Linked DNA regions of Arabidopsis thaliana. The protein of the gene in region 2 interacts with the protein of the main gene of each other region in a pairwise test. Each region holds a gene or a part of one and is shown on either strand. Other genes may lie near its edges. The genes, in order: BON1 and SGT1B.

What was found.
Region 1: the proteins of SGT1B (region 2) and BON1 interact in a two-hybrid assay, tested with the Arabidopsis thaliana proteins (one study listed by BioGRID).

The regions. Positions count from the first base shown.
Region 1 is NC_003076.8:24,854,857-24,860,931, forward strand, and holds BON1 (Calcium-dependent phospholipid-binding Copine family protein), read right to left. Parts: upstream 4,486-6,075; 5' UTR 4,443-4,485; intron 4,417-4,442; exon of another isoform or gene 4,339-4,416; coding exon of another isoform or gene 4,295-4,338; coding exon 4,142-4,294; intron 3,979-4,141; coding exon 3,931-3,978; intron 3,845-3,930; coding exon 3,696-3,844; intron 3,614-3,695; coding exon 3,565-3,613; intron 3,491-3,564; coding exon 3,434-3,490; intron 3,293-3,433; coding exon 3,107-3,292; intron 3,014-3,106; coding exon 2,879-3,013; intron 2,770-2,878; coding exon 2,708-2,769; intron 2,617-2,707; coding exon 2,523-2,616; intron 2,441-2,522; coding exon 2,326-2,440; intron 2,203-2,325; coding exon 2,126-2,202; intron 2,042-2,125; coding exon 1,904-2,041; intron 1,806-1,903; coding exon 1,641-1,805; intron 1,554-1,640; coding exon 1,440-1,553; intron 1,348-1,439; coding exon 1,251-1,347; intron 1,150-1,250; coding exon 1,052-1,149; 3' UTR 805-1,051; downstream 1-804. Other genes in the region: AT5G61910 (DCD (Development and Cell Death) domain protein), read right to left, coding at 1,052-1,149, 1,251-1,347, 1,440-1,553, 1,641-1,805, 1,904-2,041, 2,126-2,202, 2,326-2,440, 2,523-2,616 and 9 more. UniProt on the Arabidopsis thaliana protein: Negative regulator of cell death and defense responses. Negative regulator of several R genes, including SNC1. May have effects in promoting growth and development.
Region 2 is NC_003075.7:6,850,565-6,855,814, forward strand, and holds SGT1B (phosphatase-like protein), read right to left. Parts: upstream 3,349-5,250; 5' UTR 3,156-3,348; coding exon 2,996-3,155; intron 2,669-2,995; coding exon 2,599-2,668; intron 2,494-2,598; coding exon 2,369-2,493; intron 2,261-2,368; coding exon 2,134-2,260; intron 2,056-2,133; coding exon 1,959-2,055; intron 1,841-1,958; coding exon 1,775-1,840; intron 1,696-1,774; coding exon 1,557-1,695; intron 1,432-1,556; coding exon 1,352-1,431; intron 1,266-1,351; coding exon 1,161-1,265; intron 1,059-1,160; coding exon 951-1,058; 3' UTR 620-950; downstream 1-619. Other genes in the region: AGL52 (AGAMOUS-like 52), read left to right, coding at 1-3; AT4G11270 (Transducin/WD40 repeat-like superfamily protein), read left to right, coding at 3,897-5,250.

The DNA.
Region 1 (6,075 bases), on a different chromosome or scaffold from region 2:
TCCGAAAGGAGGTATTTAATTTTTACTCAATGGAGCTCTTGCCTATCTACATATTATAGGCTTGTATGTAAAAAATTTGACATTTGAAAAATTATTCACTCAAAAAAGTCAAGAGCTAACTAAGTTGACAGGTAAAGAAATTATGTACAATGTGTGACAAGTACGGATATAATAATGTAAGACTTGTAAATGTAATCCACAGCCAGTTTGACTAACTTGATCGATCATGTGTGTACTGCGTTGGTGTTAGGTTCAACTACCACTTCCCTAACCAGCTGTTTATTTATGTTTATGATCAAAATTTCTCTAAACTGTAGCTTTACTGTTAAATGTATTTGGTCTTCACTTTGGACACCCTCATCTAAATCTTAGATCACATGTGATACCTAACTATTCATTTATTTGACGGAAAATTTATAGTGTGATCAATAGCCATTTGTTCACGTTTTCAACATTTTGATAACATAATTTTATTATTTTCAATTATCCGCAAATAATGCAATATTCATTAAGAAAAAAAAATCATTGTTTTAGTTTTTAAGAAATGATTCTGATATATATGATACACATGTTTAAAAATATATTAAATTAACAAAATAACAACTATAAAAAAAAAATCTACAAAAAATTGTTTTTGGGAATTCTATGGTTATTATCAGTCTCTTACATAATTGATATAACAGTCTTTACCTTTTACTTTTTGGACACTTTCTCCATATGTCAAATCATTAGTTGAAAATGCAAAACAATATTCATCTGTAACTTGAATGTTTTTTTTTTTGTTGGACGTTCACTATTCTCTATCAATAGAAGAAATTAAGCTGCACAAAACAGATATCTTCAAATTCCAAGTATTGATGTAAAAGAAATCAAGACAAATGTGTACATCAGCCTCTTCATTCGAAACTTACATCCCACATTCAGACATTTTTATTATAAAAATGGAAAAAGCTTATGTAATCGCGCAAAACGACAGCGATTTTTAACCGCCGCAGTGGTTTATGTAATGTATAATATGTACACACTTCATTTACACACGAGACGAGATCATTCATGGAGGAATCGGTTTCATATTACGGATTCTCATATACGTCAAAAACTGCGAAGGCAATTCTGCTAGAAGCGCTTGTACCACTGAGATCTCTCCATCTACAAAACCCACACACAACACATTAAAACTCACCAAACCAAGAACTAGCGTTCTCATGCGTTTCCCTAAAGTTTCACTCTAAGAATCAAATAAAACTCACATTGGACATCTCGTAGTGCCACAAACTGAACAATGTCTCGTGAAGCCAATCGCCCGCTCGAACTCTCCAATCTTTCTCCTTTATCTGCGTCTAGTATCTAAAAACCCCCACCAAAACAAAAAAAAAGTACAGTTTACACAAGATCATATGTAGTTGTAAATCTTAAATGTCTTATTTTTTATTTGTTACCTCCATCTCTTTAAAATCAGCTCCTCCAACTCCTACAATGAGGATTGATAAGGGCAAATCCGATGCACTGACTAATGCGTCTTTTGTTTCTTGAAGATCAGTTATAACACCATCCTGAAACAAGAGTTTATGATTTATGTAAACAATGTTTGATTTGTTATTTTATGTGATCTTGGCTTTTCTTTTTATATATATACTCACTGTTATGATCAGTAAGACGTAATATTTCCGTGAACCTTGAGCTAGCGACGCGCTGGCGATCATTGCAGCAGCGTTGATCACTGGACCAAAAAGGGTAGGCCCTGCAAGAGAGACGTTGAAAAGGGCACTGGTGTATGAAGTCATGATTCCTTGAATCCCATCCACCTGAGAGAGAGAGAGAGAAAAAAAAAAGATACTTTTGATGTGTCAATCCAAAAACATCAAAATTTAGTCTTAAAGACCAGCGAGTCGAGTTTGTTTACCTCAGAGTATGAACTGCTTCCATTTAGATTAAAGCAATGTGAAACTGGAGCGTCGATTGGACGAGCTCCGAATCCCCAGGCAGGGAAACGTTTGTCTGAGTCATAAAACTGCAACACTTCTCCAACATCCATTATTGCCTGAGTTAAAAGAAGAGATCATGAAGGTTTGTTAGTCACAGTCGATGCTAGTTACAAGAAAATGGAATAACACTGAGTCCTCACTCTCTGGTAGGCATTTAATCGTCCAGAAGGATCAATGTAGTGCAAAGAATCAGGGAGGCGGGGATTTCCATTTGAAGCTGAAGGACAAAAGAAATGTAGAGATGTTTAGATTATATCCTTTTTGCATGATGTATACGTAACAACAACATTACATACCCAATCAAAGTTTTTAGGATTTTCCACAGTGGTGCAATACATACCTGTGAAATCGATTGCTACCATAAAGTTTAACTCAAATCCAGATGCCAAGTACTCTAGGAATGTGTGGTGGACAGTCTCGGTAAACTTGTCCACAAAAAGTTGGCTCTTTAACACCTAAAATGACCATAAATGGTATTAGATAGCTTATTGAAAAAGGCATGAAAATGTTAGGAGACCTTTTCGTATTGGTTTATACCTTGTTTTGTCCAGCACCAGTAGGCAAAGAAAAATTGATTCCTTGGCCCGCCAAATGAAGTTTTTCTAAGTCTGAAAGCGATTTCTGAACTTTCCTGACCACCCAAAATAAACGAGTAATTATGTCAGCTAACAGCTAAAGTCACTCCAAAAAGAAGATGGACTGAGCTCTAAGCTGTTGATTACCCAATCAGACTGTGTTTGCCATTGGAGTTAAAGTCTGAGCATTCTATTATCACTGGACTGTCCTGCATTATTACATTCTATGAATCAACTTGCATCTCGAACAGAGAAACATACTTTCTAATCATTCAGTTACATATTACTGGAAGCTCACATATACGAAATCTCCCGTACCTTACTTCCCACTTGTTGAACACTAAGAAAGACTGGCTTCCAAATAGGGTTAAGATCATTCTTCCGGACTTCAGTTTTAGACACGGGAATTGGAGTTCCATGCTCTACAATCTTTGATACCACCAAAAAGGGGTCCTAAAGTTGAGCCACAACAAAAAAAAAGTGTTATATTGATGTCAGAACTAGAATTTTATTAAAATGGTAAAGAGAATAAACAACAAAACTTACACTTTTTGAAAAAAGATCCTTAGATTCCAAATTCGAACATCTAAATACTATCTCTGTTGAAATCTTAGAAGCAAGGGACTCCTCAGCATGGATGATAAGCTTTCCGTGGTGAGGCTGAGCCTGTGGAGCAAAGCCATCTTTGCGCTTGAGTTCTAATGTGCTCGTCCTAGTTGATTTTGTGATTATCTGCGTGGTTGAAAAGTTAAATATAAAGTATTCTCTCTCTCTCTCTCTTATAAGCTAGGCAATAAAACAAAATTTCTGATGTGCCTCTCAGAGAACCAGCAAAAACAAGTGCACATATATTGTCAATGTCAAAAATGATACCTCAGACAATGCACATGTTGCCTCACCAAGAAACTGCTGTTCGTCAAGCTTAAGCATCTGAAAAGTATTAACATATTGAGAAAAGTGAACATCAGATCAAATGAAAATGCAGGCAGTAAATAAACAATTACCTCCTCTCTTGAATTTTGAAATTTGGTGTCAACATCATACACACGAAACCTGAGTATAAAGAAACCAACACAAAGAGTCAGGTAAAGGTTCATCTCTTTCCTCAAGTCACACAAGATAATAAGAAACTTACACCAATGTCTGCACAGTCTCGAAATGATAAGCGACTATAAATTTCTTAATCCATTTCGGAGCTAAAGAGTTCAAAACAACTTCACTGCGGAAAACTTCTGAAAGTGTTGCATCTTTTTCTTTTTGATATACAACAACCATAGGATCACTCTGCAAAAAAACAAAAAACAAAAAGTTTGTCATTAACTAAAATGACCAGCTATGAAGACTAATTCAATTTTGAATAACAAAGTAACCTTGGAGAGCACGTCGCGGTCTCGCAAATTCGAAGCTGAAAACGATAGCTGCATCAACAAAAAACAGTATCAAACATGAATCCTCAGAATATACAGGGAAAATCGAATTTCGCAGTTTTCTTCTTTCAAACGAAGCACACACATATCATTGTTAAACGTTTTTTGGCGGAAGTAGAGAAAAAACACGAGAGATAGATGATAGTGAAGGAACCTCTATCTGCGAGAAGAGTCCGTTGAAACCTTTGGACTTGAGATAGTAATCAAGGGCGTCGTTAGTCGCACCGAGAGCGGCGGAGGAACCACTTCCACCAACGCCGGCTGTAGCACCAGCACCGGAGGCGACATCGGAGCAACAATTCCCCATAATTTTTGATTTCCCAACAAAAAAAACTGCGGATTCAAAAGTACCTGGATCGAACAACAGAGACAAACATTTTTTTGTGAGGAATTTCGGAAGAAGAAGAAGATTCAGAAGAAAATGATAATCTGGGAGAGCAGTAAATGGGACCCACTTGTCTAAGTCGCGCTTTTTCTTTTCTTTTAATTGACTCGCTCTGTTTTACAGCGTCTCCTTCTTATATAGGTTTTTTTTGTTTGTTTTCATTTGATTAATATTGACTTACGAAATATCCAAGAAACGTTAAGCTGTTTTCTGAGAAATTCGCTCTCTTTTTTTTTTTTGTATTTATTGTAGTAAACGACGTGTTGGTCAATATCAGATTAACCTCAGACATATTTAATTAGAGCAATTAACTTCTGTGACATAATCTTTCCAGCTTACAATATCAGAATATTGTTATCGATTATAATTGTTATATCAAATACATATTATCTATGAAATCCTTTATAATATTTTATATGACAAACAGTTGGTCTTTAATAATTTTATTTGCAATGCACTAATAGTATATATATAATTCTTTTTGCCAACTGGATCTGTGATGCTTTTAGCGAAGAATTGTAATAATTTTTTTATTATTATTATTTACATGAAATTTGAGAAATTTTCAGACGAGTACAAGTCGTTGTTGCTATGGGGACATAAAGTGAGCAATAGGAAATAGTGAGAGAGTTTCACGTGAGAACATTTTACAAAGATAATTAGTAGTTTATTACCATGGAGGTCATACTTTGTTTATCTTTAACACAAATCGTAAGGTTCACACAACTCAGAAATTTTGTAGAAAAAAATCCCACAGATCATATCAGTAAATGATGATAGATGGGGACTATAACTTTCAAAAAGTGGATAAAGATAATATAATAGACATCTATTGAAAGAAGCCAACGTTAACTCCAAATTTATCAGGAAAATTTGCATTTTTCAATTCCAATTAAAAAGACCTCGAGACAATTCAGAGAGTTGGATCTGATCATGTTTTTCCCAATTTCAGTATTTTTTCCTTCGTCAATAATATTTTGATGATCTGTGACACAACCAACAAAGCTGTAAACATACGGGACCCTTGACCCAAAAAAAAAGAAACAAGAGGGCAAGACCAGAGCCTTAAGTAAATTCTGTAGCAAACAAAACAAAGTAGGTGGAAAGAGTGAGATAGGTGTCTTTTAAAATCTTTTTTATTGGAGAAGAAAGAAATAGATAAAAAGTTTTTTTGAAAGAGAAAGAGAAAAAACAAAGAACATGTGAATTGCAGTGCAAGTGCTCAAACATACATAGTGGGAGACTTAGGAGTCTTTTCTTTTCTTTTTTGTCTACCAATAGATATGGCTTAGGGTTTAGGCCACTTAATCTTAGAGCCAATAAGCATATTCTTGGTCCCTAGGTTTCGTTTGAGAGAGTGTTTAAGATGAACCTTTTTGAAGGTAGTATTCTTAATAGCAAATCCCAAGTATTAAACATGACCATACTAAAAGAAATGTTTTAGCATAAGTAATGATAACAGAGTTATAATATGTTTTATTAACTTTAAATCCCAATCAGAATTGCATTTCAGATTGCACTCCTGAAACGGGACTTAAAGAAGTTTTGATGGTTTGAGGAATTTCCTCATGCGCAGCTCAGAAATGAATATGATCAAACCGTAACATAGAACTTTTAAACTTACAGTAAACGGAGCTGGAGACTCTAGTTTTATGTCCTTGACCTTCTTTTCCACTGAGTGCACCAGTTCGAGTCCATGCTTC
Region 2 (5,250 bases):
TAACAAATCTGTCCAAAAGGATTTGTTTTTTGAAGCTTCATTAAGAGTCAGTCAATACTTATAAGTAGGAAGCTGATCAGAGAGAGATTGAAGCTGTTTTTGCTTCTGAATTCTTCCTGCTACTGTCTTTTTTTATTTTACAGTGTTGTTATAACTGTAAAACAGATCCATTTGTGGAGATTTTGTTTTTACTTTTAAGTTGGTATTTCAGTTAGTATTATATATATATATATATATATATATATGAACTTCCATAAAAGTCTTTCACAAAAACTTGCATGAAACAAATTATAATCTAAAATCACTTATGGTGACAAGACTGTTTCAATTGGTTGATACAACCTGCAAAGTGAAATCCTTTACTCTTGCATCTTATAACAAACTTGTAACTTAGTATCCTTCTTGTCTGAATCAGCTAATATATACATGAAGATGGAAAGTAGCTCTGATTTCGTGAAGACAAATTCTCTGCACCCAATTACTGTGGCGAGTTTGACAATGCTGGTGCATTGATGAGTGTTGATGATAGCTTAACATGTTCATTTCAAATCCTTAAGGCATTTGAGAAGAAAGAAAGATTTGGATTCAACAACAGTGTTCCTAGACCAGGAACCCCAAAGGTGAAAATACTGTCTCACTATATAGATGCACATCGGTTTTAACTAAAGAAAGTTGGGCTTATACAACTAACCTTTTAGACCACAATGCAATTATGTCAAGAAATATTTAGATAAGCCTCTCGATAAAAGAACAAAGTTCCAAAACAACAGACTTGCGAGTTTTAGTTTTCTAATACAAAATCAAAGTATCAGAACGTTCTTTGAGACCACAACGCAAGAATGGAGAGAGACAAATTCGAGCAGAAACCAAAAAAGAAAAACACCTTAAAAGTTCAAAAGATTTGTCAGACTTTTTTTTAACAAAAACCAGAAAAGGGGATTTTAAGAAGATCAATACTCCCACTTCTTGAGCTCCATGCCATCTGGTGGAGTGCTCTCCACTTTCTTAGTCCCAACTTCTTTCCAGTTTGTCGACAGTACCGTCCCATTCGACTCTGCCTGTCAAACCCAAAAACCACCCGAGAGGAAAATCTCATTAGTCGAAGAACAAAGCAGAGTTATTAAACCAAAATTTTAAAGACCAAAGATAGATTTGCTCACAAATGATTTGTTCATTGCCCGCCTCATGTCTTCATCTGCACTCGAGTATATGTCGCTGAAAAATTTGTTCATAGCTGCATCTCCATCAAGCTTCTCATCCTTCTCCTGCGAAATTCAAAAGTGATAAGCAGAAAGAACAAAGTACAGCAAAGCCTCTAGTGTTAAGGATGAGAAGTTAGCGTTTGTGGAACCTGTTTCTTCACTTCAGCTTCCAACTTGTCCCAGTCTTTTGCTGGCTTAGAAGATGGGTACACTGGTCTCTGCGACAGCGCTGCATATGCACATAAAATCAAATGAGAAGAGAGAGAGACCACTTTGGGTTCAGTTTGTTTAAGGTTTTACGATTGTGGTTCAGAATAAAATAGTAAACGTAAGCTGGTATCTTCTGAGACAAACCTGATGAGACATTGGGTTTGGGCAAAACACTTTGCCCTTTACCATATTCAAGGGAGGCCCAGGTGATTATCTCTGCTTTCGCAAGACGGATCTCAACTTTGGTCGACAATACTTCAAATCTGCACTTCTCTGGTATTATCTGAAAAACACCCATGAAGAAGGATTTAGTAAAAGTGTGTGTGAAAACACCGTAATTACATATGTCAAATAAAATATACCTTCCCGAACAATCTCGGCTGGAGATGATAAGCTTCCTCTCCAGCAACATCAATGACAACACTCAGCTGCACCAAAATAAAGCCAAGATAGACATCTCAAATCAATACAGTGTTAAATTACAAAGAGAGATAGTTTCTGAAGTTCAGATAAAAGTCATGAATTCTCTGATTGAAGGATACTCACAATCTGCTCACCAAACTCGACAGTTACGTTCTCCTTAGGTACTTTTTTGGCGAAAATTGTCACCACCGCTTCTTCTGGTTTCTGGTAGAACTCGTGCCTGTTGAGCAATAAAGTTATGAGTATAAAATGATTCTGGAAATTAAAGAAGAATTTACATGTTAGATAACCAGACTACCTGAACATCGGTTTGGCAGGTGCTGCAGGAATTGGAACAGGAGGAGCATCAGCTTCCGTTGCTAGTGGTGTTGTAGAGCTTGAAGGCAAACTCGGTGGCATCGGCTGAACCAAATCTTTCTCTTCTTCTGAACAGAGATACAAAGACTATATCAAAATTATAGCCCTAGGCGCAGACAAATACCCAAAATCGTTTAGTAACTAATTTCTTAAGCTATGGAGTTGATGTAACATACCTGCAATACGAAGATCGCATTCATCTATCATCTTCTTAAACTTTGGTTCATTCGGTGCAACAGAAGCTCCCTTTTCCAGGGCTGCTTTAGCAGTACTATATTCTTCTAGCTTCATACAAGCAGTGCTGCGAACACAGTAGCAAAGAATCAGAAGATAGAATTATAATTCCAATCAAATTTGAACATAACATCAAATCATTCACTACAGAGAGATGGTGAAAATATCATACCCCTTTCTGAGATAGGCTTTTGCCAACGTTGGCTCCAACTCAATGGCTTTGTTCGCATCTACAACAGCTTCTGCTCATAGAAACCACAAAAAGATAAAATATCAAATCAAATCATCAAACAACAACAATTCAATCAAAGTACAGTAACTACAATTACAATTACTCAAATAAGTTTTCTTATCCGAATCAACAACCTCACAAAAGAAACCCTAAAACTAAAACTAAACCAAACCAATAACAAAAATCAAAACTTTGTTCCACTATCAACAGATCGAATTAAAGTAACGACAAAAGAACAAGACCCAGAACCCCAAAAGCGTCAACGAAGCAATACATCTAATAAAGTTTCAATCTTTAACGATGATATTAACGGTAAGGAAGAGAGTTATATTTATACCAGTGAAGTTATCGATTTTGATGTTGGCCTGAGCACGATCGGCGAAGAAGGCGGCGCAATTGGGATCCAAGTCAATGGCTTTGGAGTATAAGTCAACAGCAACATCGAAGTCATCATCTAGAAAAGCTTCTTTAGCTTTCTCTGCTAATTCCTTGGCCATTGATTCTTATCAGAGGATTTGAGAGAACACAAACAAGTCAGAGAGAGAGAGAGATTATAGAGAAAGAGACCGATTCTATTCCTCTAGGCTTTTTTTTTTTTTGCTGTGTTTGGGATTTTTTTTTTCTTTTAAGAACGTTTTAATACCTCTACTAGGTCATATAACCAAAAACAAAAAGGTAATTAGATTTTATTTTATTTTCTAATTTCCTTTTGATTTTATTTTTTAACATAAGATTGATTCTTGATAAGTCCAGATTTTTTAACAAATAAATTAGTTGACAAAAGAATAATACTGAAAAAAGGAAAGAAAACTAATGGTAAAGATATTTATAGAGAACTACAATAATTTAAAATAATCATTTTCTACTCATTTTGTTTATATCGTAATCGTTTACTCATAGTTTAGCAAATACAATGTGATTTGTGAATTTAGACTATGATATATTTTAACAAGTTATAATTTATATATTGACTAGATTAGGACCCGTCGTCCAATACACAGATTTAAGTATTTTAAGTTGATAATAATCTAGTAAAGTTAAAATATCAATTATCAAACTTTTGCCAAATATTTACCTTAAAAAATTTATTTGCAACCTCGAAAAATCCATCTAAATATGTACAGATATATTTGTCGTGATTACTGTTACGACGTCGTTTACCAGTTCGTTCTTCCTTCTTCTCTCACCCCGACTCGTTCACTGACTCGGTCGATGCTTGTACCGCTTGATTCAAGCCGATGAAGTGCCGATCTGTGGCCTGCCTATGGTCTCGTGCTCCTCCGTCTCATCGGGTCACCGCCACAGCCTCTCTAACCAATCCACCGACTCTCTATACCGGTGGATCCGATGGGTCAATCATCTGGTGGAGCATCTCTTCTTCTTCCGAATCCAATTCTGTAACTCGTCTCCCTCATCATGAGATTAAACCGATTGCTATGTTGTGTGGCCATACTTCACCAATAGTGGATCTTGCTATTTGTGATCCTACAATACTTTCAAGTAATGGAGTTGTTGCATCAGATAATGGTAATGCGGATCCATTTGTTAACTGTTGTGCATTGATCAGTGCTTGTACTGATGGTGTCTTGTGTGTATGGAGTAGAAGTAGTGGTCAGTGTAGGAAACGAAGAAAATTACCTCCTTGGGTTGGAAGTCCATCGATTTTGTCTACTTTGCCATCAGAGCCTAGATATGTATGTGTTGGTTGTTCTTATATCGATGTTGATGGGGCTGAGACTTTAGCAGATACTGATTTTCAGAAGTCGAGATGCACGGTGGTTGTTGTTGATACTTACACTCTTACTATTGTTCATACAGTTTTCCATGGGAATTTATCTATTGGTTGTTTGAATTTTATGGGCGTGGTTCAGTTAGATGAGCAGGAATCATTGCTTATGGCTGATTCGTTTGGTAGGTTGCAGTTGGTCTCAGTGTCAGAGAAATCTGAACCGAGCAAAGGCTCTCTAGTGTCTAGAAACTGGTTGAGTGAAGGGGAAATTGCTGTATCAGTAATAACTCGAGGGGATCTTGTTGCGTTTTTCTCGAAGAGTAGGTGTGTCTTTTGGTTGTTGAATCGCGAGGAGGCAATAGGAGAGATATCTTTTGTTGATGATTCGCATTCTTCAAATTTTCTGTTCAAAGAAGCAATGATACTTTACTCTAGTACATCAACTATTGAAGGTGATAAAGATGATAGTATTTCTGAAACTTTTGTGCTGTGGGATGGTAGTGGTTCTGCTGTGCTGTTTACTATGTCATATATAGATGGTGAATTTACATATAAAAACTTCGGTGAGATTGTTACTGCCCCTGATGATAAGCGTTCCGTGAAATCAACGTTTTGTTTTGTTCAGTTGAGGCAGAATCTTCTTCGCGTTGAGTCTAGTTGTTGTGATGTTGAACAACCTTCTCAGTGGAGGCCCCATATAACGATCTGGTCATTGTGCCTAGGAAATGGTAAAGAAAAAGAACTTCAGCGCAAAGTGCTTGGAGAAAGCTCCTATTTTGCTGATTGGATTTCAAGCTCCTGTTTAGATCCCAAGGGCTCGGTTAGTGCAGAAACTGGTACTTCGCAGTCAGGAAGTCAGTGCA